Linked DNA regions of Tamandua tetradactyla. The protein of the gene in region 4 purifies or fractionates together with the protein of the main gene of each other region. This does not show direct contact. Links are inferred from orthologs where the notes say so. Each region holds a gene or a part of one and is shown on either strand. Other genes may lie near its edges.

Region 1 (6,862 bases), on a different chromosome or scaffold from region 4:
TCCTCAGGCTTCCTGGCAGGTGTGGGAGCAGGTTACGTGAGATGGGTGTGGGTTAGGTGGTAAAAGATGAGAAGGTTCAGGGAACGTGGGAGGGGTCACAGGTGGGTGAGGGTGGAGGCAAGAAATGGGGTTCCTGCCAGTGTTGGACATAGTAGTTAGACCAGTGATTTGGAACCACTTTATAATCATGGCCTCCTTTGAGAAGCTGATGGATGCTGAAGAAAAAATGTGCGCACACACACCGTCACCCACACACACTGACCCACAAATTTTGCATGCAGCATCAGGGGTCCTTGGTGCTCATCCAAAGGATCCAGATTAAGAACTTCTGGTACAGGCTAATTCACAAAGACTTGTCAGAAAGAAATCCTATGGCTACATGAACAGCTTGAAAATGCTCGTGTCTTCTCACGGAAAAAAGATTCAGGGAAGTGTCCATGTTTGGGAATTAAATGCCAAAGTCCACTTATTTCATACACGCTCTTATTTATTTATTTGCATGGGCAGGCACCGGGAATCGAACCTGGGTCTCTGGCATGGCAGGCTAGAACACTGCCTGCTGAGCCACCTTGGCCTGCCCTCTTATTTATTTTGAAAAATTTCAAATCTACCAAAAAGTTGTAAGCTCGTGTGCTCTCTGTCTATACTTGCCAATTGTTAACAATTCTCCCCCAATTATTCCTTACCCCCATGTGTGCTCTTGCTCTCTGGAACCCACGCTTTTTTGTGGAGAACCATTTGAGAATAAGTTGCAGATATTATACTTTATCCCTGAACACTTGGTATGTGTCTCTGTTTGCCAAGGCAGCTATGACAAATACCACAAATTGGTTGGCTTAAACAACAGGGATGTATTGTCTCACAATTGTGGAGGTTGTAAGTCAAAAACCAAGGTATTGCTAGACCATGCTTTCTCCTTGTGTCAGTGGTATTCCAATGCTGGCTTGAAGGCAAGCCTTGGTGTTCCTTGGTTTGTAGATGCATGTTTGCCCATATCACCTGGCAATCCCTTTCTCTCTCCTCCTCTGGCTTCTCCTGACTTCTGAATTTCCTCTGTTTATAAGAATTCCAGTCATGGGGTGCAAGGGTAGTTCAGTGGTAGAATTCTTGCCTGCCATGAGGGAGACCAGGTTCGATTCCCAGCCTGTGCACTTCCCCCATTTCCCCCCAAAAATAAATTCAACAAATAGTGCTGCAATAATTGGATAGCCACATGGAAAAAGATGAATTGTAACCCCACCATACAGCATACAGAAAAAAAAAAAGAACTTCAGTCATATGGATCAAAGGGTACCCTAACTCAATTTGACCTCATCTCAATTGGATCTTTGCAGAGACTATTCGCAAATGAGTCTACAACCAGTAACTGGGGTTAGAACTTGACACGTCTTTATGGGGGGTCATTACTGAATTTCCAACAGCATGTAATACCCAAGATCAAGGGATTCTCCTGCATAACCAAAATACAATGATCGCATTCACAAAATTTAACATTGATACAATATTATCTAATATACATCCTTTATTCTAATTTCTCCAATAATCCCATTACTGTCCTTTTAACTATATTCTTCTTTCCGTCCCTTCCTTCTTTCCCATTTTATTCTGTATTTAAACCAAAGTCATATACTTAACTTAGTTATGTCTCTCAGTCTTTTTTAATTGAGAAGTTCACTCCAGGGGTTTTGTTTCTTCTCGTGACATTGATATTATTGAAAAATCTAGGCCAATTGTCTAGCAGAATGCTCCCTCAGTTTGGATATGTTTGATTGTGCCCTTTGATTAGATTCAGATTAAGCATTTTGGGGCAGGAGTACTGCGTTGGGGATATCGTGTCCCATCTTGGTGCATCACATCAAGAGTTCAGTTGGTCCCATTTTTGATGCTAAATTAGATCCACAGTTAAGGTCATGACCTCCAGGTTCCCCTTTGTAATTAATAAGTAATCTACGGGGTAACATTGTATACACTGAAAGCCTCGAATTGTGGAAGATGCTGGATGCTGCTTTTACAGTGGAGGAGACAGACAGTTAGGAAGCAAATAATCACAGACCATGCAGACTTCTGGAAGGATGTGGATAGGGTGCTGAGACAGAGAATTGTCAACTCAAGAGAAAATGACCTTTAAACTGAGATTTGAAGAGCAAGAGTCAGCCATGGGAAGGAAGTAGTGAAAGGTGGGGGTAGCTCCTGGCCATGTTTAGAAGGTGGAAAGAACTGAAAGATAAGCCTGTTGTGGTCTCAGGGAAAAGTGATAGGAGAAAGGCTCTGGAACTGGAAATAATAATATTGGGTAATTACCTTTACTGAGTACTCAGTACCTCCCAGACATTGGTTTAAGTGTTTTACATGAATTAACCTTTTCAATTCTCCCTGTAAAGTAAGTGCTATTACTGATTTTTTGCTGTAAACTCTGCAGCACAGAGAGGTTAAGCAACCAAGCCAAGGCCACACAGCTTATAAGCAGTAGAGCAGGAATTCAAACCTGCTTGTATCTGACTCGATATTCTGTCCTCTTAATAATAACAAGGAGTAGGAAGCAGGGTCTCATCTGGAAAACAGAATGTGTAAAGGGATTAAAGTCAGAAAAGTCTGGGATGAATGAGGACGTTCCATTGATACAGGATATAGGATGGGAAAGGAAAACAGAAGAAAGGCCCAGAAGATCAGAGAGAGAAGTGTTTAGAGATAGGAGGCAACAGAATAAAAAACACCCCACCCTCAGTCCACCCCACGCCCTGGACTGAGCCTTCAGGCAGAACCCCCACACAATTCTACTGCTCTCCGTCCTCACACACATAAAAAGGGCATTTGCAGAGTTCAAGCTCCCCACAAATTATCTATTAATGGGGAAAACAGACAACCTGACAGGGACCAACATAACCAAGTGACCAAGGGAACATTCAGAAGTTGTTCAGGGAAGTGCTCTTTCAGGTAAGGGAATCTGGGGGGAAAGTGTAAGAGAAGGGTCTTGAAAGGAGGCTCTGGGTGAGGAGGTCTTAGGGTTGAGACCTCTATGGGTGACCAGACAAGGTCTGGAGGAAAAAAGGGGGGCCTCTGGGAGGAGCAGAGGGATCTTGAGGCGGAGGAGGCTCTAAGTAGTTGAGGAGAGTCATCAGCAGGGCACTCGATGGGGGTAGTTTGGGTCAGCAGGGGAGGTCTTGAGGACGGAGGACTCTGGGTGGCTAGAGGGTGGAGAGCTTTGGGTAGGAACCTCCAAGACAGTTTTTAAAGGGTCGGGACTGGAGAGGAAAGGTTAGAGAGACAGTCTGTGAGTGGGGGAAGCCTCGTGAGGACCGCGTCAGGGCAGACTGAGGAGGGGGAGATTTGGGCAGGGGGCGGGGCGGGGGCGGGGCTGGCGCCGCCCGGCGGGTCCCCCCGCGCTGCAGGGGGCGCTGTGAGTCCGAGCGGCCCCGGGCCGGGCGGTGGCCGCTCCTATTGAGCGCGGCCCCTTTTCCGGGTTTCCTCCTCCTCCTCCTCCTCCTCCTCCTCCTTCTTCGCCGCCGCCGCCACCGCTGTCCCTTTCCCGGCCGGCGGCTGCCGCGGCTGCCGCCCCTGCCGCCGCCCCTGCTGCCGCCGAGTCGGGGCCGCGAGCCGAGCTGAGGCCGCCGCGGAGCGCGAGCGCCGCCCGTCCCTCCGCCTCGCCGGCAGCTCCGGGGCTGGGCCGGGCCGGCCGGAGCCCCCCGCGCCCCCCAACCCGCCCGCCCCCGCGGGCCCGGCCTGGCGCGGCCGCCCGCCGCCGCACTCCTCCTCCTCCTCCTCCGGCGCCCGGCGGCCGGCCGCCCGCTCCGCCCTCCACCCGGCGCCCCCCGCCGCGCCACCCTCTGCGCCCTGCGGCGCCCCCCGGTCCCGCCCGCCATGCCCGGCCCGGCCGCGGGCAGCAGGGCCCGGGTCTACGCCGAGGTGAACAGCCTGAGGAGCCGCGAGTACTGGGACTATGAGTCGCACGTCCCGAGCTGGGGGTAAAGCCGCCGCCCCCCACCCGACCCTCACACCCTCCTCGGGCCCCGCCCGGCCGCCCCCCAGTGTGAACCACACTCGGCTCCGGGCGATCTGTCTCCCCGCCTGCTCCTCTTCTGGGCCGGCGCTTTCTCGTGTCTGGGGTGGGAGACTGAACCCCCCCTCCCCCTCCGCACGTGTCCTTGGCCTCCTCTTCCCACTTGGCGCACCCCTCTCTTTCTTCATCTCCCTTTCTTCCTGGGAAGACGTAAAGGATCTGAGGGCCAGATCTTCATAGAAGTGAGGGGGCAGCCCATCCTCCTCACACTTTTGGCTTTCTGTTGGGGTGGGAAGTAAACAGCTGTCTTCTTGAGCTATTAAAATTCTTTGCCTTTTAGTTTGTCTGAGACTGGGTGGGAGGAAATTTTTTGAAGACGTCCAGATTAGCAAAGCAGGCACTGTCTGCGTTCAGGGTGTGAAGTATGAGGCAGGTGCTTTGAAGCCACCGGTGGAGGAGTACCCTGTGGCGCTCCAGTATGGATGCTTTGCGCTCCCTCTACATCATCTCCCTTAAGTTATGAGGGAACAATTAGGTTAGGAGCTCTGCAGAGTGAAGGGAGCCAAGTTTTTGTTGTAGCCTTCATTTAGGGAATGAGTTGTGATGTGATGTATAGACACTTCCAAGTGTTTGATTAATGGAAGCATCTGCATGGAGTGTATAGTGAGCCTGAACTTGGTTGATCCACTATCTTAGCATTTATGTGTCTGTCTTTCCTTTCACAGTAATCAGGATGATTACCAACTGGTTCGAAAACTTGGTCGGGGAAAGTATAGTGAAGTGTTTGAGGCTATTAACATCACCAACAACGAGAGAGTGGTTGTAAAAATCCTCAAGGTGAGTGTCCTATGAGTGGCATTTAAACTTTTTTTTCCACAGGCCAAATGGGAATCTATGTGAGCTACAGTCCTAACTCTCATTTTATTTACTGCCTTCTGTCTGATGTCCCTCCACTACTCCTTCCTCCTAATTTCCAAGAAAACATGGAGACCTGCCTCAAATCAGAAGCATGTTAGGTCAGGAAAGTAAGTCCTTGTTCCCAAATTTAAATTATGGGCTCTCAAAGCAAAAAAATCCCATACTCTATGTATTACAACATAACTGATATTTCAGAGGAAAGAAATATCTCTTTGTGAAGATTCTAACAATCCAGAGGTTGCTTGACTATTGTTTTTGTTACTCTTGGTGCATTAAGTTATTCCGGAAGGAAAGTTAGAAGATAAATTTATCCTTCAAAGATGAATTTGTAGCCCAAGTGGAGGAAAATGTCTCAGTGGATAACCACTTGTCCCTTCTTTGGTGATAAAGTTTCAGCTGAAGTGGAAATAACAGCTAGTAGTTTTGGAAAGGTTCATTGTTGCTTGTCAACTAGTAAAAGTGAGCAGAAGAGTATGCTTCCAATCTCCAAAGTAATAATTGGAACAAGACACTGTTGATATCGGGGTTTAGTGGCTAAGTTTCATAATATGCCTGTTTTGTTATCACTTGCATGAAGACATGATCTTAATGACCATGAAGAATTGACTGAATTTTCCTTCAGGCAAATGATGTTTTAGAGGTTGTACTAAAGAGTAACTCAATCTGTGATGGGGCCTCATTTTGGCCGGGTCATTTAAAGTGTGTGCATATCATTTAAAGAAACATTCAGAAGACTAAGGAAGTACTTTACATAAATGCAGTGTGGCCATTTTGCAGAGATTTTGTGGAACAAAAATGGGGTTAAAAAGCTGTTTTTGTTTCCATTCAGAAAACTGAGGAAGTACTTTACATATAGGCAATGTGGCCATTTTGCAGAGATTTGTGTGGAACAGAAATGTGGAGTTAAAAAGCTGTTTTTGTTTCTTAAGGGTAGCATTAGGGCAGCTGTGTAGGTAGTCCTTTTTAATGTGTGGGGTACTTATGCTGTCTGGAAATTGCCTTTCATAAAAATGATTGACACAGTCTTTTAGGACCTCCTACCTAGCGTTGAAGGAGCAAAGTTGCTCCTACCTAGAGCAGATAGCTAGTTATTTGTGCTGCCAGACATATTGGGAACAAGAAGTGAGGAATTGATGTTAAAGTTATTGACTCCGCTTTTCCCCAAATTTGAGTTGTATCTTTAAAATCACATGGTCCTTTTTTTTTAACAAACACTAATGTTTAAATGAATGTCTCTTCAGACGACAGATCACCTGGGGAAGCCATACAATTTATTTCTTTATGTACATACGCACAAATGTTTTTTATTTAAGCTGCTTCACATCTTTCTAGGAAAGTAGTTAAGACACAAGTTGAAATTAGTAATAGCCACATTCCACTACTATACATTCTGAAAAATGAACTGCTGACTCTAAAGCAATTCCAGAAAAACGTCTAAACTTTTGTGCAGTGGTAACATTTTAGAATAAGTGCAATCTCTTTGCTTTGCACTTTTGAGAGGAAACAGCAGTCAGGTGTATGTATAAATATCAGTATGTTCATTTAGGAAATTATCACATTACTCTTTAGTCATTCTAAAGGACTTTATAGGGTCAGTTGCTTGATAGTTTTCCTTTGCTCCAAAAATTCTTGGGATGTGTTTAGGGTCCTCAATATGGAAACTCTAGGGTTTTTTTAAACAAATGGTAAACCTAAGCACAAAGAAACTTATCTCATAATTTTGCTAAAATAATGAACCCTTATTATTCAGTAATGAACCTTTATTGCAATGCCTGTTTCCTATTTCTTCCGGTGTCTTACTTTGGTGTATTGTCTTGTGGGGTCTTAATGTTGAACAGTGTTCTGGAATAAGACTTAGAAGTCTCCTTTGATACTTTAGTTAGAGTGTTGTTTCTTATTTCTTTTTGTAGCTTTGTGTGTGTGTGTGTGTGACATGGGCAGACTCTG
Region 2 (6,982 bases), on a different chromosome or scaffold from region 4:
TACAAAATTTGGTGAAAGCAGCTACAATTTTACGCAGTAAATTTATACACCTGCCCTGGGGCTGTTCGCTCCACAGATGCAGGGGAACCCAACTTATTCACTGCTGTGTCCACAGCACCCCACTCCAGCCGGAAGCACAGCAGTGGAGCTGCTAGAGAAAGGAAGGGCAAGAGGACCCCCGGCTTTCCAGTCTGAATTCCTCTGGCTGAATTCCCTCGGCTGCCCCCAGGTCTGAGGCTCCCCTTCTCTCCTCTGGCTCCCTCTGGGGTCTTGCAGTGACATCTACCTGTTTCCCCTTTCCTTCCCTACTTTTTATCATTCCAGCCCTTTGCATACCCTATCAGCTTTTCTTCAAAATGTGCCCCAAGGGCGGGCCACGGTGGCTCAGCAAGCAAGAATACTTGCCTGCAATGCCAGAGGACCTGGGTTCGATTCCTGGTGCCTGCCCATGTAAAGAAAAAAAAAAACGTGCCCCAAATCCAACCACTGTCCCTTGCAGTCCCCGTCTGGATGCCTGCAGCAGCCTCATCTGCTTCCCCACTCCTGCTCCTACCTCTTCAGTCTGCTCTCTTCACAGCCGCCAGAGGAATTATTTTTAAACCCAAATCAGATCACACTGCTCTGATCAAAACCTTCCCGTGGCTCTTGTCTCACTCCAGAGAAAAGCCGAAGAGCCGGCTGTGGCCCACAAAACCCTACAAGGCCCGCCCCACTGCCCTCTGTCATCGCCTCCTGTCCTCTTCCCAGCCTCTGCTCCAGCTCCATATAAGGCCTCCGCACCCTTATCTGAACAAACTCATCAAGTGAGCTCCAACCTCAGGGCCCTTGAACACACTGAGTCCCCTGCCCGGGCCCCTCTTTCCTCTAAAATCTGCAGGACTTGCTCCCTCACATCACACCAAGTCTCCACTGGATTGTCACCTCCTCAGCGAGGACTTCAAACTGACCACTCTCTCCATGCCGGTCATTCTCCATCCCTTTTCTGCCTTATTTTCCTTCACGACCGTCACTTGATGTTGTGCCATTGATTGTTCTCCTTGTGTGTTTATTTCCATCTCCCTCATGGAATGGAAACTGCCAAGAGCAGGGGCTCCTGTTCTCTGTTGCAGCCCCTGGTGACTAGGATGGTGCCTGGGACCCCACAGTGATCAAACAACATTTGTCAAGTGAAGGAATGAATGAGCCTTAAGTGCCAAGGGGCTGTTATCAGTGCTGTCTACAGACAAGAAAATGGAGCCTCAAACAGGCCAAACGACTTATCCAGGGGACACCCTTGCCCAGGGACACCCACCTGGGAGGCACGGGAGAGAGCACACACTCAGTCCTAACAGCTGCCCCCCACCCCCCCTAGCCTGACTAACCACCCCTCATAATTCCCTCCCCTTTTCAAAATAACCCTAACTTCACCTCCATCAACTGGCACCCAATAGCTCCCATCCTTCCTGCCCACTGAGCACCTTCTACATCCCAGCTCCATTCATACCTACTGAATTCTAAAATAACCACTGGGCACTTAACAGGAGCCTCCGCAGATCCGGCAGAATGACAAAATAGCCGGTGTCCATCTGGTGCCTGGCACATGTGAAACGCCTCACACCCACCACACACAAGACCAAGACCACCCCATCAGGAAGGGGTGCTGGGCAGCCCATCTGACAGACAAGGCACCCGAGAGGTGAAGGCCCTCATTCAAGGTCACTTGGCACACAAATTCAAAGCCAGGACTGGCTAACCCCAGAGCCCACTCAGACACAGCCTGAGCTCCTGGCAGCTCTGAACACCAACGCCAGCCCCGGGAGCTGGGAGCTGACTTGGTGACAGGCCTCCCGTCCACACAACTTTTTCCGGCAGGGATCACTGACCCTAAACTGCTGTGGTCAGATGAGGAAACGCTTGGAGTCAGGGCTGTCCTGCTGCCTGACCCCTGATGTCTCTCGGGGACCATCACCACCACCCCCAATCCCACTCCTAGCTTTCCAGATCTCTCCCCACAAACCCCTCAGGCCCTCCTTCCTAGAGCTTTGGGCAACCCCCCACCCTACCCGATGGAACATTCCTCCAGCCTCATCCTACTCTTGAAATAAACTCCTCTCTTTTCCTGACCCCACGTGTCAGGTTCTCTCATGACTCCCTCCACAACCAGCCCTCTAGCCCCCTCCCCACTGCCCCCCATCTCTTCAGCCACCCCCCATCCTGGAAACCCCTATCTCTCACCAGGGTCCAACTACAGTCCCCCATCTCCCCTCCCCAAGCCCCCTGGGACTTCCTATCACTCCCAAGCCCCTTCTATACCCCTAGCAAGGAACCTGTGACCTATCCAGCCCTTCTCATCCATGACACCCCCTTTTCCAGGCGCTCAAGCCCTGCCCCACTAATCTTGCTGTGTTTCACGTCCTCGGTCCGCTCTAGCCTCCTGCCGCTCCACGGCGCCACAAGGAACCCCCCATGTACCTCCTTCAGTCCGGTCTACAGCAGGACCCCCCATCGCCCACAATGCAACCCACACTCCACCCACCCACGGTCAGCCTTTCCACCGTTCCCGAGGGACGCCGCCTGGCCCCCCCTCCCCTGGACCTCATGGGCCTCCCCTTCTCTGAGACCCTCCCGGGTCCTCCCCGTGTCGTCACCTCAAGAGGCACTCGATGACACCCGCAGCCCCTCCATCCCCGCCACCCTAAACTTCCCCCGGCGCCTCTCTGGCTGTGACCTCGCTGGCCTTCCACCCCCGGGGCCCTTCCACGGCCTCCGAAGCCCCCAAATCCACGCTCCCCCGCCCCAGTGTCCTCCGGCCGCGGGCTCACAGTTTCGGATGTCGGAGATGAACACCGCGAGCCCCCGCATCCCATCGCCCTTGGACACGGCCGGCATGATGGCGGGGGTGTCGGCTCCAGGCCTGGCCGGGCAGGGCACAGCGCAGCGGGGACTGGCGGGCGGCGACCAGGCGTAGAGAATCTCAGGCAGCGCCGAGGAGCCGGGCCGGGACTAAGGGGAGGGCGCGCGGGCGGGCGGACAGGCCGCGGCTCCGCCCCCGGGCCCCTCCCCTCGACTCCACCGCCCGGAACTGTCAGCCGCGGGTTGGCTGTGGCTACTGCCGCTAAGGCTAGGGCTCATCCCCTACTGCTTTCTAATTGGCCCTTAGGTAAAAGTACAGCGCTGCGATTGGTCCAGTACCCCGCTATTTCCGTTCGGGCACGGGGGAGGGAGCGGTGCCCAAGAGACGGGCTGGGTTCGGTTACGTACCGTGGGACCGCCCCCTCCGCGCTGCCGGGTCGGATACTGATTGGACCTGGCCTCTCTCCGAGAGGGGATGAAAAGACGTGAAGGAAGGCGGGGAAGCGGGCCTGAGGAGGCGGGACTTGAGTGCACAGAGGCCAGTGGAGGGGCAGATCACCCCCACAGGCATCGCGGATTTGCGGGGTCTGGCCTATTTCCGCCCTCGAGTGGGCGGGTGTGGGGGCGGGTGGAGGGCGATGATTGGTGGAGAAGGAAGGAGACGGGGAAGAGTCACTCAGCTGGTCTGGGATAGGTAGAGCGACGTCTGCAATTCCCTGCTGCAGAGAAGGGGTTGGGCGGGGCGAGAGTCTAGGAGGTGTTTACTGCGCAAGCGTCTCCTAGTTTCCCTTTTTCCCCCCCCCAATTCCTTAAATTCATTTGTAGGAGCATTCTCTCTTCCTTCCCGCCACCTTTCTCTAGATTCTAAGATGTCAGGACTTGGCTTGTCAGAAAACCTGGGATCTCACTGGAGAAGAACTGTATCCACGTCTAGTCCCATGAAACAGAAGTTAAACCTGAAGTCCAGAGACGTTGAGTGACTTGTCAAAGGTCACACAGCTCGGCAGCGGCAAAACTGAGATTTAAACTATATTTTGGCCTATAGCCACTTTTCATTGTTTTTTGTTTTGTTTTGTTTTGTTTTTCTTCAACAACAACGCCTCAGGTAACCTCCATTAGAGCAGATATCAAATAAAAATTGTGATTATCTTCACCAGATGCGCAGCTCCGCCTGGGCAAGAATGGAACCTTGTACTGCAAAGCTAAAAAGGAAAAAAAAATGCTTTTTGAAGTAAGGAATGGGTCAATCGGCTTTGGCCCGGCCCCTCGGCGCTCCGGAGACCCTGTTTGGTTGATTGGCTTTGGGGAAAACAAAGCTTCCAGAACTGCAGCGCCCTTGGCTATTGAGAAATTTGGGGCAAAGGGAAGTGGGAGAGTCCATTTCTGTCACCTCGAGGAACAAAACCCCACCCCACCACCCTTTTCTAATCTCAGAAGCCAAGTATCCCGGGAATGAGCCTTAGGGGAGTGTCCTGATCCTGGGAATGTCCACTCCGAATCCTGGGGGAATGGGTAAGAGCCCACCTCTCAGGTTCAGTGGATCCGTCCATTTGGATTTCCAAGAATAGGGTTTAGGAAAATACATTCTGCATCCTAGGGGGGGCTGTCTGGGCCGGCGAGTCCATTCCTAACACCGCGAAGGGGAGACTGGCTTCTCCTAGGGAACGTAGGGGCAATCCTATTTTAAAAATTGTATTATTAGGACCAGGAGTTGAACAAGTCCTTTTTTTAATGGAGGAAAACATTAAGCGTTCCAAGGACTTGTTCGTGGGTGACTTGGAGAGGACCACTTTGTCCCTGAAGAAATCGCCTTTAAAAGTATATAGTAGTAGTAGTGGAATTCAAACTAGTCCTGTTTGGGGGTTATGAGGAAGAGACGTGAGGGGTCGTTACGCACACACACACACAAAAACACCGCCACCACCGCCATGTCCCCCACAGAGCCCACCTAAGGACAAACAGATTTAACTCTGGGTTCTTGGTGTGGAGTGAAGGATGTCCTAGCCCCCTCCTGGGTATATGGGGGACTCAGCCTGGCCTCTCCTCCCTCAGGGAGCTCATTAATTGGCTGAAACTTAATTTTCAAGACTGGGCTTAAAGTAGAAGCGATCTAAGGTCTGATGAGGACCTGAGACTGGGGCAGGTTGAGGAGCCAGGGGCTGCCTTCCTGGGCCCTGGGCGTCTTGAGCCTGAGAAGGGATGGACATGGCTGACCCCCTTTGAGTTAGAATAGCACTGTCCACATAGAATTACAGTGAGGGGCGGGCCACGGTGGCTCAGCAGGTGAGAGTGCTTACCTGCCATGCCCGAGGACCCGGGGTTTGATTCCTGGTACCTGACCATGTGAAAAAAAAAAGAGATTTACAGTGAGAACCCTGGGTGTAATTTCCAATCTAGTTTTCAATTTCTAGCCACGTTAAAATAAATAAATAAACAGAAACAGGTGATCCTAACTTCCATAGTATATTTTAGTTAATCCAGTATCCAACTGTTATCATTTTAGCCTGTTTTATGTTCTTATTTTTGTAAATCTTTGGAATCCAGTAAACATACAGCCCGGCTCAGCTTGGACAAGCCACGTGGCCTGTGCTCAGCAGTCAGAGGCTCTCAGTAGGGTCAGGCAGGCTGGGGCCAGACCATTCTGGAAAGCTGGGGCTGATCTGCTGGTAAGTCACCTGGAAGACCAGGTCATGAACAAGTCCACCTTTGGAGGAGATCTAGGGAGGTGTGGTCAAGCCATGATAGGCTTTAAGATGGGACGGTAAGAGGGAACCTTGGGCACGCCAAGGAGCACATGGGTTGAGCCACTAGTAGAAGTTCTAAGACTTCCACCCGAGCAAGGCCACTCATGATGCACATCGGATTCTGATTTCCTCCAGAAGAACCAAACTTACCCCCGGTCTTCGCGTTTGGGCACCTGCCATAACTCCAGACATTTGTTCTGGAATCCTTCCCCACCCCTCCACCCAAACCAAATCAGGACACATCATGATGCCTGCAGCCACCCCATGGCCTGCCTCAGCCCCTTCCAGGCCACCACCCTCTGTTGCCTGGATCTTGGATTGCTTTCTTAAAGCCCTCTCTGCCCGGTCCTTCTGCAGCTTGGATTTTTAAAAATTTTTATTGTGGTGACATACATACAACCCCAAATTTCCCATTTTAACCACTTTCATGCATACGATTCAGCAATATTAATTACGTTCGCAGTATTGTGCCACCATCACCATCATCCTTTACCAAGAATTTTTCATCACCCTGAACAGAAACTCTGTACCCGTTAAGTAATCACTTCCCCTTCCCTCCCTCCAGCACCACCACCCCCATAACCTCATCCTACTTCCCCTCTCTATGCATTTGCTGATTCTGGTGAGTTCATGGAAGCAGAATCATGCATTTGGCTTATTTCGCTTAGCATCATGTTTTTTGATCGTTTGATCGCACTATTACTTCATCCCAATTGCCAGTTTCTGCTCCATCACTGCGTGATGAACATTTCTAAATACTCAGAAAAGTCAAAATCGCCATTGAGCCAACACCCTCTACCCCCACGTTGATTCCACCGTTAACATATTTCTTTACTTGCTTTATCACCTGTTTGTATGTGTACCCTTCCCTCTGTCCATCTGTACCTGACCCCAGATGCTTCAGCCTGCTTTTGGCTGGAACTTGATATTCACTTAGATTCTTTTTTGTTTTTGGGGGTGGTTTTTTTTTTTGCATTTTTAAAGTTTATTTATGAAACATAACCGCATACAAACACAAACATTCTTACCATATGATCATTCCATTCTTGTTATATAATCAGTAACTCACAGTATCATCACATAGTTGCATATTCATTATCATGATCATTTCTTAGAACATTTGCATCAATTCAGAAAAAGAAATAAAAAGAAAACAAAAAAATTCATACATACCATGCCCCTTACCCTTCCCTCTCATCGACCACTAGCATTTTAATCTACTAAACGTATTTTAACATTTGTTCACCTATTATTTAATTATTTTTAATCCATATGTTTTACTCATCTGTCCATAAGGTAGGTAAACGGAGCATCAGACACAAGGTTTTCACAATCACACAGTCGCATTGCGAAAGCTTTATCGTTATACAATCACGTTTAGATTCTTTTTCAGCAGGTAAAATGCA
Region 3 (7,976 bases), on a different chromosome or scaffold from region 4:
AGTACAGGCTTGAATAAGTAGCTACATCAGAGTCCTAGGAGCCAGCAACCTGAGGGTGCCCCACCGTGAGCTGTGAATCAAACCACTACCCAGCACGGTGGCAGTGCTCCACACACATTTATTAAATGAATAAGCACTGCATTTTAGGAGTCTGAAGTCAAAGTTCCTGGGACTTGAAACCTGGCATTGCCATAGACAGCTGTGTGCACTAAGGCAGGCAATAATCTCCATAAACCCATATCCTCATTTATAAAACAAACACAAGGAGACCCGCCTCGGAGATAGTAAATGAGGTACCACAGGTGAAATTCATCTAGGAGTCTGCTTGATGATTACGCACAGGTGTTTGTGTGTTTACATGTATAGAACCCAGAGGCCGTTCAGTCCTGATCCTAACCTTTCAATCTTAGCAGAAACCTGAAAATGTGTGGCATACATTCAACGGGTCACTCCATTCACCCAGTGTTGATTATGAAAAACTGCTAGTTCTCGGAAGAGAAAGATCTGGGCTCACTTTCCAAGGGCATTCGACAAGGAGGCGATTTAATATATTTGCATTTTACAGCCTGCGCTTTTCCAAAACAAGGGAAAGAGTGTGATATGGATTTAACCCTAAAGTCCCAGTGATTGCACAGCCCATTGGCGTACTCTGCTGGGATGTGGAAACCAGTCAGAGAAGGTGCTTGTCAGATGGTGTGCAGAGAACAGAAAAGCATTTGCTTCCACCTCTATTCATCCGCCACGCGGATGACACGGTGTTCGGATATACTGATGTCCAACACGGATTACCAAGAGCTAGAAGTTAAGACTCAGGTCCTCAAGGACAGACTTTCCCCAAGGAAGCCTTGCCACCTCCCTTCTGCCGTTTCTTCTCTACCTCATCATTCTCAGACCAGAATCCTTGGTCTTAGATCTGCACTGGGAACAGAGCTTGGAGCAAATGTGGTCCCTCTCCTCTTATCAAACACCACTGCCTGTGAATCCTGGGAAGTCACTGTAGGAATTATAGCGTGCAACTCCCAGGCATTCGCTTAGAGAAGAAACTGCACACCTGGTGCTAGGAAAGGAAGGGTAAGATTGAGCAAGGTGGAGGCCAGCCCCAAGCCCAGTATTTATCAAAGTCTGGTCCCAATCACCTCCACTGAATCACCTGGGATGCTTGTTAAAGGCACACACTACTCAGCTGCCCCCAGATCCCACCAAATTAGAATTGGGCGATAGAAGGAATGTGAATTTTCAATATCCTCTCCTAACACACTTCTGTACCCTCAGCTGGGACCTTGCAGAGAACTTGTGAATAAATAAGAAAGCTTAAAAACACTTTAAATTGGATCTCCCTTCTTATTCTCATTCTTGCAAAACAGAGCACTGGTGAACCAAACAAGGCAAGAGCCGATTTCCCAGTACATATATAAATATCTCCAAGAAAGCTAAATCATGACCCTGATGAAAACTCCTACCTTAAAATTTAAAAATAAGCTCACCAAATCAACAGGACTGGACAAAAATCAACCCAAACATCCCATCTTAGGCTGACCAGATCTATCCAGAGAAGCAAGATAACATCTCAGCTGCAGCCCCATTCTGATGCCAACTATATCCAGTAATTGAGCTCTGAATTCCATGGCCGTGTCTAATGTCTGGGGGGGAGGGGTCTTTACGCTCTAGTCAATACGGTTGGGGAGAGGTTATTCGGAGGGAAAAAAGTAAGATTCACCAATCCATGCACGTCTTTGAGAAGAAAAAAACTTTTACAATAACTGACACCTTCAGGTACATATCAGGCACTGGAAAAATGTTTCTTGAATTGAAGGAAATAGAGAGACACCTGATGGAATAATCTCTGCATGAGATACTAACACCCTGCATCTACATAGTGGTGAAAGAGAAAAAGGGAAGGGTAAAACTGACTGCACGCCAAAACTACAAAGTTTTAAAACCAGCAAGACCCAATATTTTAAAAGGAGCAGTTTTTAAAGATTATCAGTGGCAGGCACACAGGAGTTGCTGAGTTCCTGATGTTTATGTAATGGGGTTTCAAGAGGCATGAAGGAAGAGCAGAAACACTGCCAGGGAGGAGCCCTCTCCCACAGGAAGCCCACCTGGAATTCTGCCAGGAGGGACATCACATATTCACCTGATGGGCCAGTTCAGAGCCCCATACCCCTATCCCGCCCCAAAGATGAACCTGGGGCTTTGGCCTGAGCACTGAAAATTCCAGTTATCCTTCCTAAATTCTTCAACAGTAGTTCTCTGTTAGCAGCTGAAACTTAAACATCAAGCCACAAAACCAACAAATGGGCAGCACTTCCCCCACACTTGCAAAGGAGTCCTGATAAATCAAGCATTTAGGAAGTGACTGACATCTGGACCCTACCTAGACTCTAGAGAAGCACCCCTGAACTTGGAAGAGGAAAAAAGGCTTTTCCTCAATCAGGAAGCGGGCTCCATTCCTGAAAGCACCTCTCCCACGGGAGCCCAGCAGGTAAATAACAGCAGAGTTTCCCTATCCTCAAGGACCAGAGTACAGGTTGTGCTCACCCGCCCGAAGGATCGGGAAGTAATTCAATCCAATCCTTTGGCGGGTAAGAAAGGGGGAGTCTGCAGGTAGGAGGAAGAGGGCGAAGCACTACCGCTCAAACTTTAGTTGCTCCTTAGCAGTTCTAGGCAGGAGTCCGTGGAATTATGCTGAGGAGGGGTGTCACCCACCCTAACAGAAAAGCCCCCTAACCAGCTCAGTCCTCTAGCTGTCTCCAGGATGGCTGTGCATCAGATCCACTCAGACAAGCCCCTCGCGGGCAATACCCTGCCCGTGCCCCCCTCACCTTGGCCTCAAAGCAGATGCCGTGCTGGAAGGCGTCCTCGTTGTGCAGGGGGATCCGCAGGTCGTGTCCATCGTCCACAAGGTTGTACTTGGTTTTGCTGGGCATGGTGACCCGAGGTGGACCCGCTCCTCCAGAGGCAGCGGCGGCTGCAGGAAGAGGCTGGGGAGACCCCGGGGAAGGGAAGCGGGAGCCGGGCGCGCAGCGCGCGCAACGGGCTCGGGCTAGGACGCGGGGCGAGGGGCGTCCCGGCGGCGAGGTGGCCGCTGAAGCTGGGACCCCGGGCGGCGCCGAGGGCCAAGCGCGGGCGGGAGGCGCGGATGCGGGCGACGCGAGCCGCACTGTGGCCGCGCAATTCCGGCCGGCGAGGAGAGAGGCGGCGGAGGCGGCGACCGGAGCGGGCGGCGCGGCGCCCCGGCCGGGGGAGGGGAGCGGCGGACGCGAGGCCGCAGCCCGAGGCGGGACGAGGCGCGGAGCCGACCCCGGAGCGATGGTGCGGGCAGCCCGATCCGGGAAGAAAAGGTGGCGGCGGCGGCGGCCGAGCTGGGCGCCTGTCACGGAGACGCCGGATCAGCCGCCAGCGAGCAACTCCTCCTGCGGGGCGGGCCCGGGCCGGCTCCTCCCGCGGGTGCAGAGGCCCCGCCCGCTGCCGGGTCCGCCCCCCGCGCCGCCGGCGCCGCCCGCCGAGCAGGTGAAAGTCCTGGGAGCGCAGGGCTGGGCCCGACCCGGGGAACTCCGCCCCGGCCCCAGAAAGCTGGGAGCTTACGACCGCAAGCTCGGTGCAGCGTCTGAGCCGGAGCTGCTGATAGAAGCAACAGCATCGCCTTTGATTTTTGTTTGGTTTTGTTTTGTTTTGGGGGGAGAAGGTGTTTACGTTCTGTTTTACCGAGATGGCCCAAGCCCCGCCCCAAATGTCCCAAATCTGAACTTCATTAATTCTGAGAGTCCCCTCCCTTGGTTAATCAAGATTGAATACAAGTAGAGGAATAGGGCAGGCACTTTTTGTTCCTTTCAGTGATAGTGTGTAGTGGCGGAGGGGGGAGGTAATGCTTTTTGTGATGGTGATAATACTTTAAAGCCGTCAGTCTTATGAAAATGGGATAAGCAGAAAGGAGAACTAACGACAATAATACATCCTCCTCTACAATTTATCATAGGTTAAATAATTTGTACTGAGGAGCTGCATCACTTAGCTTTTTATAAATACAGGATATGAAAGTCTAATCAGACATGTTTGACTCTTTGAATGTCACAGTGGTTTTAATATGCATCATAAATGCACTCTCTAAAACCTGGCACAGTTACACTCAACAATTTAAAGGCAGTACCTTAAGTAACTACTTCATTTGTATCTCATATTCTATCTAGAATGTAAAATGTTCTCTGATTCCAAAGGGACTTTTCTATATTAACTTGGGTCCCACTGGACTGCTGATATTTACCAGAATTTCGTGTCTAACTCTATAACACATTGTTTGTAGACCAAACATAAGAAGAAAAAAAAAAAGCTGGCATCCCAAATGCATTTCATAGAAAGGAAAGTAGTTAGTATTTGAACCCAAATCAATTCTATGTGGAGAGGTGTTTCCACCATGCCTGGATCTCCATGGAAGACTTCTAATTACAAATGAGATGCACCTCAAATTCAGGGTCCATGTTTTATGTTGCTAAATTATATTCATCCCATTTCAATTAGATGAAATGTTCCTAAAAAGAGAGGCTTGTTCTCTATTTTGGCCTCTACCTATTATCATACCCATGCCACACGGTATTAAGATACCTTTCTTCCAGCAACAATAGGCATCCAAAGGAATTTCCATTTTTTAGCTGAGGTTTCGATCTTATTTTTGTACCTTTAAATGTAATACACTTCACCCACAATATTTCCAAATCTATAAAAACAAATGCTTTTTATCTTAAAATGATTGACAGTGCATGTATCACTTCCCATACCTTTCCATATTTTAAACGTTTAAACGTTTTAAACGTTTCATAATAAAATTTTCATCTGAAATAGATTTAATAAAAATACAAATTGCTAAATCATGAGATACCTCCTATGTTAATTTTATTGAAACTCGATTTTAATATAAATTATATATTTTTTAAAAACACTAAACCACAGAACTTCAGAGCTGGAAGTTATATCAGAGATATCTAATCTCACCCCCTCATTTAAAGACAAAGAGATTTAAGTAACTTGCTATCACTATGGCCATGAGTCAATCAGAAGTTTGGGTTATGACTTAGAACAGATGTGAAAATTTGCAGTAAATGTGGCACCAATAATCCAGGAAGGATCTCTCCCATACTCCCGACGCAGTAATCTTTCCATTACACAATGATGGGATATAAATGGATTAACAGCAAATTTTTTTGAGCACATATTTGAAATTGAGAAAATTAATTTGCTTTTGGTGAGAAATATCAGCTTTGCCATGCTAACCACTGCATGTGCATAGTCCCACTTAATCTCTCCCACAACCATGAGTCGGATACCATTTTACAAGTGAGGAAACTGAGGCTCAGAGAGGGAAATAATTTGTGTAGGTCATAAAGCAGTAAGACCTAGGAAACCTTCCTTGAGTATAGCCAACAGAGAAGAGGATGTCAACTTTTTGAGATACATAGACAGGGGAAAAAAACCACAAATCTTCATACAAATAATAATATATTAAACATTAATCACAGATAATGACTTCCTACCATCAGATAACACTTAGCTCCAAAATGCTCAAATTCTTTTTCCATTTTTCTGTGTATCCCTAAGGTGTAAAGAGTTGGGATTCATTACCCCTTTTTATAGGTGGCAATAAAAATATTAAGTGATTTCTCTGAGAAAAAGAAAAGAATTAAAACTCAGGTCTTCCAACTTCTAATTTGGGTATTTTAATTTTCTTTCAGCTTGAATTTTATATTGAGAGCTTTAAAGTTCCCAACAACTAAATGTCTCCATAATGTTAAGGAGGCATTTATTAGAAAATGAGTCAATCAGAAGTTTTGAGTTATGACTTAGAATAGATGTGAAAATTCACAGTAAATGTGGCACCAATAAACCAGGAAAGATCTCTCTCAGTAAAATGAAAAGATTTGAGTCTTCCAGTCCTGTCATTCTCAATGGCTCTCTGTAGATAAGTAACTGTAATGTAAAATTATTTCTTATTTTTCTGCCTATTTTTTAAAATTCTTTATTGTGGTAACATATATTCAATATAACATTTCCCATTTTAACCACTTCTCACTATAGAATTTGAAGGTGATTTGTTGACAATCTTATGCTGCCATCACCAGCCATTACCAAAATTTTCCATCAATTCTGTATCCATTAAGCATTAACTCTCCTTTTCCCAGCCCCACCCCAGCCAGCCAGTCTTTCTGTCTCTATGAATTTGCATATTCTAGTTATTTCATGTAAATGAGATCATACAGTATTTGTCCTTTTGTTTCTGGCTTATTTCGTTCAACATATCAGGGTTCATCCATGTTGTAGTATGTATCAGAACGTCATTCATTTTTTATGGCTTATTGACCAGAGGCTGTTGAATGAATAAATGTTTCACACCTCAAATATTAAGCAGTGCCAAGAAATACAGCTTGCCTCTGGTTTTATTGATGACATAAAAAGAATGCTAAAGATTGGAGAATTTTCTTTAAAAATGATGCTAGTGTAAGAGAAAAGATTATACTACAATTGGATAGACTTTGTGTCTGGAGATGGGCTAATTATTGTAATGAGAATTGAGTTAAAGTCTGAAGACTCCAACATTGTGACCTTGGGCGTCTCTCTCAACTTCATTGTTTATGTTTCCTCATTGGTAAAGAAATAGGAAATGCATCTTAATTTCTTCATGGAGTTGTTTGAGCATATCATGAGATGGAAAGCCCTATAAACAGTAAGGTTTCATAATAGTAGAAGAAATTATTAACATGATTTCCAAAATGGAAACTGGTATTAACTGTGAGAATATCAACAGTTTTATAGCAATCTCTACCACTACTTGTCTGGTTTGGTTTATTGTGATCTTTTACTGCATAAGAAATAAAACAACAATTTGGAATGTTTGTCCCATAGGAAAGGTTATTCTGAAGGTATCACATATTGTAATGCCAGCCTTCATATTTTTTATTAGATCCATCTAATCTCTCCTGCATGGTATAACCATTTTCTGCTTTTCTCATTCAGATTATTCTTGATAATCTTAAAGTTTATAGTTGTATTTCTTGGCACTGCTTAGTATTTGAGGTGTGAAACATTTCTTCATTCAACAGCCTTTGGTCAATAAGCTTTCTGGCCAAAGGCAGTAGAAAACATTAAGTAAGTGTCCCTGCTATGATCATTTCTCAGGGTAGCAGGGGACGTAAGAGAGGTATACATCCTTGGCGAGGCATATACTTAAAAACTGCAGTGGTTATGAGATGACAGAGTGTGATCCAAACGTAGGGGTGAGAGGCAGGGAGGGAAGGAAAGGCCCAAAATCCCTGGGGCTGATTGGTCAGGAAAGTCTTCAAGGGGGTGAGGTTTGAGGTGGCCTTTTAAAAAGGAAAGGATTTGAATAAATAACACAGCAGGAGGAGGCCAGGCAGAAAAACAGGGTCTATAGAGACATTCATCTATAAAGTGTCTTCAGGGGACAGTGAAGAGATGAGCTCACCGGATGGAGAGTTCCTACTGGGGAGCAAGTGATAAGATTAGTCCTGAGATGGCAAAAGGAGAACTTCAACACCAGGCTGAGATGTTTGTAACGTCGCAGGAAATTTATAAACTGGGATGTGACCCAGGGTGTAAAATTAGAAAGTGCAGCTCCCCCCACCAAAAACAAACAAACAAACTTATATTCCCCGACCCTTCTATTTAAGCAACAATTGAAAAATGTTTGGGGTAAAAGCTGATCATTGGATTTTCCATCTTTTAAAAGCTGATCATTGGATTTTCATATTTTAAGAGTTGTGCTGGTCTCTTGTACCCAAAAATGAATACTGATGAAAACAGATAAAGCCGCAAACAACTCTATCTCACTTTCATGGGTCCCAAAGTACCCCCACATTTCTCGTTTCCAAATGCTTTTAATTCTTGCTTCTATTCCACTTTAGCTTTGGACCTTCTCACTGGCTGACAATTCGGGATTACTTTTCTGGTTCTTTGTTTGGTTTAAT
Region 4 (7,964 bases):
GGACCAGAAAATTGCGACACTCCAGCTCAGCGTGCAGGTCCGTGGGGCCCGCGTCCACCCAGAGCTGCAGCTGCAGACGGGCAGCCTCCTATGGAGGGCAGCCTGGGCCCCCACACTCACCCACAAAGCAGACAGCCCCTAGGGGATGCCCCACAAGGCTCCAAGGTTCACACCCCAAGTGATGTCAAGGTGAAGCCGCTCACCTCCTACACACGTGGCCAGCGGGCACACGGGATATCCCCGCCCTCCAGACACAAGAATCGGCCCCTGAACCCTGGCTCAGGTCTGACCCTGAAGCTCGGTGAACCCCTGCAGCCCCTTTCCCTTGCGTGAGGGATGGCAAGGCACCCTAGGGCCCAGGGTCTCAGCCCCCACAGGCCCAGGGCAGCCCTCTTAGGACCCCGAGGAGAGGCAGCCAAGGAGCGGGGCAGTCGGGGAGTCCCCATCCATACCTGCCACTACCTCTGGCCGGCAGGAGTAGGAGGCTGGAGCTGTGGGGTTGGGCCCTGCCTTCCTTTCTCAGCAGACGGGGCTGCCCAGGCTCTGTTCCTGGGGCCCAGCCCACACCCCACAGATGCCTCCCTGGTCAGAGAAGCTCCATGTGGCCTGGCTGCAGGGGGCTCAGGGGAGGCCAGGCCAGCTATGGCCCCTGCTGCTCCCTGGCTCTGCAGTTCATCCCCTGCTGCAGCCCCCTCTCCCCTGGCAGCCCACCCCAGGGTGGGCAGCTCGGTGTCACTGGCCTCGACATTCTAATGACAAGAAAGGACACGTTGCTTTTTTTTTTTTAGGATTTTTTTTTTATTAATTAAAAAAAATAAAACATTTAGAAATCATTCCATTCTACATATATAATCAGTAATTCTTAATATCTTCACATAGTTGCATATTCATCATTTCTTAGTACATTTGCATCAATTTAGAAAAAGAAAAAGACAACGGAAAAAGAAAATGATAATAGAGAAAAAAAAAAAACTATACTTACCATACCCCTTACCCCTCGCTTTCATTTACCACTATTTCAAACTGAATTTATTTTAACATTTGTTCCCCCTATTATTTATTTTTATTCCATATGTTCTACTCTTCTGTTGATATAGTAGCTAAAAGGAGCATCAGACGTAAGGTTTTCACATTCACAGAGTCTCATTGTGAAAGCTATATCATTGTTCAGTCATCATCAAGAAACATGGCTACTGGAACACAGCACTACATTTTCAGGCAATTCCCTCCAGCTTCTCCACTACATCTTGAACAACAAGGTGATATCTACTTAATGCGTAAGAATAACCTCCAGGATAACCTCTCAACTCTGTTTGGAATCTCTCAGCCATTGACACTTTATCTCATTTTACTCTTCCCCCTTTTGGTCAAGAAGGTTCTCTCAGTCTCTTGATGTTAATTCTCAGCTCATTCTAGGGTTTTTCTCAGTCCTTTGATGCTGAGTCTCAGCTCATTCCAGGATCTTTGTCCCATGTTGCCAGGAAGGTCCACACCCCTGGGAGTTATGTCCCATGCAGAGAGGGGGAGGGTGGTGGGACTGCTCATATTGGCTGGAGAGAGAGGCCACATCTGAGCAACAAAAGAGGCTCTCTTGGGGGTGACTCTTAGGCCTAAATTTTAAGTAGACTTGACCTACCTTTTGTGGGGTTAAGTTTCATGTGAACAAACCCCAAGACTGGGGGCTCAGCCTATAGCTTTGGTTGTCCACACTGCCTGTGAGAATATCAAGAATTCAACTTAGGGAAGTTGAATTTCTCCCCACTCTCACCATTCCCCGAAGGGGGCTTGCAAATACTTTTCCAGTCACTGATCAAATCACTCTGGGATTCATCGGGGGATCACTCTGGACAAACCAACAAAATCTCAAGTGCTACCTGAGATTACTAGTACTTATGACATTCAAACTATCTACATGAGTTATATTAGGAAATGCTCTAGTCGAAATCTAAATTTTGTAACAAACATTTTTTGCTTTAGTCTTACACATAATGTGACATTTTGAAGTATTAGTTATCATCTATTTTCAGCACCCAGCAATAATGACAATCCTTTGTTCTTCCTCATGCAAAACATTTTTAAAATTTGTACATTGTACATTTCACTATTATTATACACTCTAGGCATTCCTAGATTATACCATCTTGATCTTTAACATCTATCTTTCTTTCTGATTTCATTTATGTCCCCAGCCCTCTTCCCCCTATCATTCTCACATGCAGCCTCATTCAGTGTTTTAACATAATTACATTAGTTAGGTAGTATTGTGCTGTCCATTTCTGAGTTTTTGTATCCAGTCCTGTTGCACAGTCCATATCCCTTCAGCTCCAATTACCCACTATCTTACCCTATTTCTATCTCCTGATGGTCTCTGATACCAATGACATATTCCAAGTTTATTCTCTAATGTCGGTTCACATCAGTGGGACCATACAGTATTTGTCCTTTAGTTTTTGGCTAGTCTTACTCAGCATAATGTTCTCTAGGTCCATCCATGTTGTTACATACTTCATAAGTTTATTCTGTCTTAGAGCTGCATAATATTCCATCGTATGTATATACGACAGTTTGTTTAGCCACTCGTCTGTTGATGGACATTTTGGCTGTTTCCATCTCCTTGCAATTGTAAATAATGCTGCTATAAACATTGGTGTGCAAATGTCCGTTTGGGACACGTGGCTTTGAGCCTGAAAACCTGCACAGCTTCCCAGCCCACAGCTCTGGCCCCCCAGCCCCTCTGAGGCCCGTCTCCCTCAACCCGCTGCCCCTCCTCCCCCCACCCCACCACGGACAGTGTCCTTCTGCAGCACCTCCTCCATCCACCCCGGTTCCCCCTCCTCTCAGCTGCACTCAGCATCCCCATCCCCTTTAAGCCGCCCCTCCCGCACACCGCCTAATTCCTCTCAGCCCGCACGGTGTCAGGCAAAGGACTCGAGGAAGTCAGGAAGTGTCTGCTGGAGGGGCCAGAACCCAGGCCCGCTACGACCAGGCTTGCCCCAACCCCATCCAGGCCCCTTCAGACAGCATTAAATTCTCCCCAAAGTCACACAGCTCCTTGCAGCCTCCGCTCCCACCCAAGCAAGCCCCTGTGCTGTACCCTGGGCTGGGCCATGCCTGTCTTTAGCACCCATAGCTGGCTTTAGTGATGGGCACAGGTGCTTCCCAGACATCGTTTTCAAGGGGATTCGGTGCCCGCCTCCACCACCAGAACTGCCACCCCAGCTCTCGCTGTGTCCCAGCTGCCAGCCTCCGAGGGTGGGCCCTGCAGAGGCCATCTGGACCAGGGAGGGTGAGGGCAGGAAGAACATTCCACCTTGCTGTAAGCATGCTCCCCACATCAGCACTCCCCAAGCCTCCCGGGAAGTCTAAAGCACCTAACTGTGCAGAGGGAGCACCGGTAGTGAGGAAATGGGGGAGGGCGCTCCCCAGTCCCCCGGGTGTCAGTGACCTCGGCGGCCTCTCCCAGGATGCTGCCCCAGGCCACGTGCAGAACTTCAGGGCCCGGCCAGCTGCTCAGTGCCCTGTCCACAGAAGCCTGCCCTACCCCCATCAAACCACCCCATGGGGGGTCCCCATGACCTGGCCTTGCCACCCTCAGCGCCCACAGCCTTGGCAGGATGGCACTGGGTCACAGGAGTGGGGAAAGGCAGGACTCCCGAGGGACGGGAGAAATGTACATCCATGTTTCTTATGAACACATTTCTACTGTGTCTCAAAATGGCAAGATCAGGATGCTCAATTTTTAAAGCTCAACAGCTGACTGTACATTTTATAACAAAAACCAGTAATATTTAGAAACAAATTTAATTAAATTCTGAAGTGTCTGAATAAATCATGTTAAGTTTAATATAAAATGTGTTAAATTTTTCAGGCATGCCAAATTAAATTACTTTAGCGCATTAACCAAAAGCAGGAGGGAGGAAGGGGGCTGGCTTTCCACCCCCCACCGCCCTCTCACCACGGTGGGGTCTCCTAGCTGCCCCTGAAGGGTCAGTGCTGCCCTGGACACATGATGGTTGGCTCGGGATTTGGGGAGCCCTTGCGGATTACGGGTTCCCACGTGCTGTCACTTCTGCCTGACTGGACCACCTAGTCCACCCCATCCCCCAACGCCCACCTCTGGCTCCCCCTCACGGCAGCGGGAAGGGCTGAAGGCACCACCCACTGGGGCACCCCTCGTTCCCACTTACCCCTTGATGCTTGGCCACGCCAGGGGACGTGATCACAAGGCACAGGATTTAACTCCTCCTAAATGTCGCCACATCGAATCTAAATCCAGGGGGGCGCCCCCACCCCCAACCCTGGAAAGTGTGGGCAGGACCCCTCCTTGCCGGCTGTGTTTTGCCCCCCAACTCCTCAGGCCAGAGGGACTGGGGAAGGGAGGGACCACACCTTTCCACCCACCCACCCATCCATCCATCCTGAACTCTTTCCTGTCCTTCACTTGAGGCCCTTCCTTCAAACCACCGGCAGGAATGTGCTCCCCTCCTCTTCCCCGCTGCACCACCGAGTTCCAACAGGTCACCCAGGCCGAGCACCTTCTCTCCTTCCACAAATAACTGCGAAGCGTCGACTACTTGCCGGCCACGGGGGTGACGAGGCGGGGAAGGAACCCGGCGAGGCCCGCGCCCTCCCAGCCCCCAGAGGCTCGGCAGCGGCCCGCACTGCGCGCCCGCGTTCCCACGCCTCGCCTCCCGCACCCACGCGGGACTCCGACCGCGCGAGCCCAGGCTACGCCCCAGCAAGCCCCCGAGCCCAGCGCGCGCGCACGAGAGGAGCGGGGCCGCGCGCCCGTGTTAACCCCCTGGCTGCCGGCCCATCGCCCGACCCACCCCAGCGCCGGGAGACGCCCCCAGGGAGGGAAACCAGGGCGGGTCCTTGACGCGGTGAACCAGAAACGCCCTTGGCCCTTTAGACTCTCCTCGCTCACGGCCATTGGCTGCCGCGGTTTACGTCATCGCTGTGCGACGACGGACGGCGCGCTCCCGCTCCCGAACCCTGACGACAGACAGGCGCCAGCCTCGGCGGCTGAGGAGAGCGGGAGGCGCTGTCGGCGGCGGGAAGATGTAAGTTCGGGGCGGAATCCGACCCCATCCGAGCTTGCAGGGCCGCCCGCTAGGCGCGGCGGGGCGCATCGTGGAGCCGGCCCCTCCACAGGCCCGAGGCGGGAACGGCGGCCCGGCGGCTTGGGTTCTTGGGAGAAAGTGCGGGCCGGGGCGGGCGGAGGGGGAGGCGCCGAGGCCGCGGCCCGGAAGTGGTCGGGCCCGGCGCGGACGGAAGGGCGCCCCTCGCCCGGTGCGCTCGGCGGCGGGCCCAGCTAGGCCCACGGGGCTCCGAGGGGCCGGCAGAGCGGTCTCCGCCCTCGCGTCCTCCCGCCGGGCCAAGACCCGGACCCGCAACGGCCTGGAAGCGCTCGCGGCCCAGAGCCTGGACGGGGGAGTTGTGAGTGAACGCGGACGGGAGGCGGCAAGGTCGGCGGGCGGGTTGCTTTGTGGGCGGCCCGGAAGACCGGCTGATACTCGGTTCCTGGTCAGCAACTCACACATTTGCCCGTCAATGTTACCGGGTCTCTGGTGCCCGTCTCGGTACCAGGCCTTGGGAATCCAGCCCGGTGTAGTCCGAGCACGGTGACCGAGGCGGGCACAGTCCCTGCTGTCGGAGGGGCTCCGTGTCACGGGTTCCCCCAGAGGGGAGGGTGCTGGAAGGTTAAGGTCGCTGGAGGAGACCTGGAAGATGCTTTCCTGCTTTAGTTTTTTCGCATGAATTGTGCCTAAAATGTACATTTAAGTGATAAAGGTGCTCTTAAGAGTCGAGCCCAAACGCCATCCGCTCGGGATGTAACTAATTGTTCTCTTCTTTCTCTGGCTGTTGGACGCCCACCATTCCGGAGGATGGGGGAGGTGACTGCGGTCCTGTCCTGTTACCCGCATTTGCGTGGACAACCTCACTCTTTGCTTTCTAGTACCCGGCAGTACCCAGCAAAGCGCTCATTTATTCTGCGATTCTTAGTTTTTACAGTGCTTAAAAATAACCGCTGGTGTTTGTTTTGCAAAGTGCATTCAGGGTTATGTCCTCGAGATCTTTAGGATTGGGGTGGGACCCAGGAATCTGAATGTGTAACCTGTAAGCGGGGTCTCTGCAGTAGCAACTAGCCACATGTAATTGTGGAGTACTTGAAGTATAACTGGTCCCAGTTCAGTTGAAAAATGTACACTAAGTTTCAAAGATTTGGTATGAAGAAAGAATGTGAAATGTTTTATTAATCTTATATTGACATCTTGGATATACTATATTCACTTTATTAAAAATTTCACCTGAGTTTTACTTTTTATAATGTGGCTACTGGAGAATTTTATGGTATGCTTGTGGCTCTTTATTCTCCTTCTGTGGACAGCATTGTTCTAGGTGATCCTCACCTGGGCAGGCCAAGGACACCTGTAGAGCATTCAGGAACCGTGTGTCACTTTGGAAACAAGTGTGCATGTGGGAAAAGAGCCTCCAAAAGTTGAGAAACAACCCTCTCATAAAACATCAGCTACCATTTATTGAGCCTTAACTGGGTGCCAGGTCTCTTTGGTGGATTAATTCCATGAATGTACTTGTTTCCAGATGAGAAAATAAGAATCAGAAAGGTTCAGTGACTTGTCCAAGGTTACATAGCAAAAGTCTTGAATTAAACCCAGGCCAACTGACCCCTATACTCTATACTCCTATCCACTGAATTCTACTCCCTGATTGCCCAAGGACACTCACCTTATCAGGTGCTTCCTGCTGGTATCTGTAGCACTTTATTTTAAGGTTTTACAGCCCTGGGAAGGAGCGTAAGGGTGATAGTCTGCTCTCTTCCACATAACCAGCATTAGAGTCTAGAAGTAATATTTCTGCTTTCTTTGCTTTATCGTGTTTCTAGCCATCTATTAATCTTATATTTCATTTCAAAGAAAATTGTACTTTCTCCCTACACTGAAGTACACATTACCTTAAAGTTCAGTATTTCCAGTAACTACTTTTTAAAGTATCATTTTCCTGCATTTTTAATGTTCATATGGGACATTTTATCTATTTGTGTTTGGGTATTAAGTGTTTTGATGCTAGTACTAGTCACTTTTGAAATATATTTTTGCTTGTAGTTATATGTCCAGTATATCCTAAAAAGAAATTACAGCAATAAAACAAGACACCCAGTTTTATAAGGAAAACCACACTTGAGTTAGGCTTTTCTCTGTGTTGCGTGTGAATGGGGTGCTGTATTTTTTTTAAGGGGCTTTAGAGGGCTCATCAAACTTATGGCCCAAGAAACTTATATACAGCCTGTAACATGACAATGACAGGTTTCACCTCCCTCCCACCCCCATTTGCTCAAGAAAAACAGAAGCTGAGGTGACGGTTCAACCTGTGCCTCCTGTAGGGTGAGAATCCTCTGTAAGGAAATGGTGACTGCCCACCCCAGGTTTCTGGCTGCGTGGACACTCTTTGCTTACTGTGTTCACGTGCCGATTTCTCATGTGCTCAGCTTTTTACTGCAAAGTAGATTTGTTGCCTTGCCAATCCGTTCACTCTTTAAATCCTTTTATCTTGTTATTAGGCTGCTCTTTGGCGTAAATTGCAATCGATTAGGGATCGTTTCTCAGAATCGAGTTAGAAGTGAGAGTTCAGATCAGTGAGGCCGCCATTGCTGCTCTGAACACTTCAGAAGGGGAGAATGGATTTATCAGGAGTGAAAAAGAAGAGCTTGCTAGGAGTCAAAGAAAATAATAAAAAGTCCAGCACTAGGTAATCCTTCTGTCAGATTTTTCTAGTGCTACTTCGGGGGTGCTACTGCTAGGAACTCTCAGAAAGGGGAAGGTTGGAAATGTTTTGCATTTGACAGTGAAAATGTCCTAAGCCACAGAGCATTTTGCTCTGAGGTTCCCTGAGTTCTCTGGCCCTTGTGGCTCCGTCCTGTGGGTTGTGGTGTTGTTCAGGGT

The links.
Region 1: the proteins of RNPS1 (region 4) and CSNK2A2 purify together in Homo sapiens (co-immunoprecipitation; 3 studies listed by BioGRID and IntAct, with this or other methods). This does not show direct contact. The link is inferred for Tamandua tetradactyla from reciprocal best matches to the Homo sapiens genes RNPS1 and CSNK2A2.
Region 2: the proteins of RNPS1 (region 4) and AP2A1 purify together in Homo sapiens (co-immunoprecipitation; 3 studies listed by BioGRID and IntAct, with this or other methods). This does not show direct contact. The link is inferred for Tamandua tetradactyla from reciprocal best matches to the Homo sapiens genes RNPS1 and AP2A1.
Region 3: the proteins of RNPS1 (region 4) and NOS1AP purify together in Homo sapiens (co-immunoprecipitation; 3 studies listed by BioGRID and IntAct, with this or other methods). This does not show direct contact. The link is inferred for Tamandua tetradactyla from reciprocal best matches to the Homo sapiens genes RNPS1 and NOS1AP.

What each region holds. Positions count from the first base shown.
Region 1 is NC_135342.1:51,831,856-51,838,717, reverse strand, and holds the start of CSNK2A2 (casein kinase II subunit alpha'), read left to right. Parts: upstream 1-3,842; 5' UTR 3,843-3,858; coding exon 3,859-3,962; intron 3,963-4,722; coding exon 4,723-4,834; intron 4,835-6,862.
Region 2 is NC_135342.1:11,396,443-11,403,424, forward strand, and holds the start of AP2A1 (AP-2 complex subunit alpha-1), read right to left. Parts: upstream 3,008-6,982; 5' UTR 2,869-3,007; coding exon 2,802-2,868; intron 1-2,801.
Region 3 is NC_135330.1:15,202,981-15,210,956, reverse strand, and holds the start of NOS1AP (carboxyl-terminal PDZ ligand of neuronal nitric oxide synthase protein), read right to left. Parts: upstream 3,017-7,976; 5' UTR 2,931-3,016; coding exon 2,826-2,930; intron 1-2,825. UniProt on the Homo sapiens protein: Adapter protein involved in neuronal nitric-oxide (NO) synthesis regulation via its association with nNOS/NOS1. The complex formed with NOS1 and synapsins is necessary for specific NO and synapsin functions at a presynaptic level.
Region 4 is NC_135349.1:55,260,722-55,268,685, forward strand, and holds the start of RNPS1 (RNA-binding protein with serine-rich domain 1), read left to right. Parts: upstream 1-4,953; 5' UTR 4,954-5,061; coding exon of another isoform or gene 5,062-5,063; intron 5,064-7,582; 5' UTR 7,583-7,699; coding exon 7,700-7,770; intron 7,771-7,964. UniProt on the Homo sapiens protein: Part of pre- and post-splicing multiprotein mRNP complexes. Auxiliary component of the splicing-dependent multiprotein exon junction complex (EJC) deposited at splice junction on mRNAs.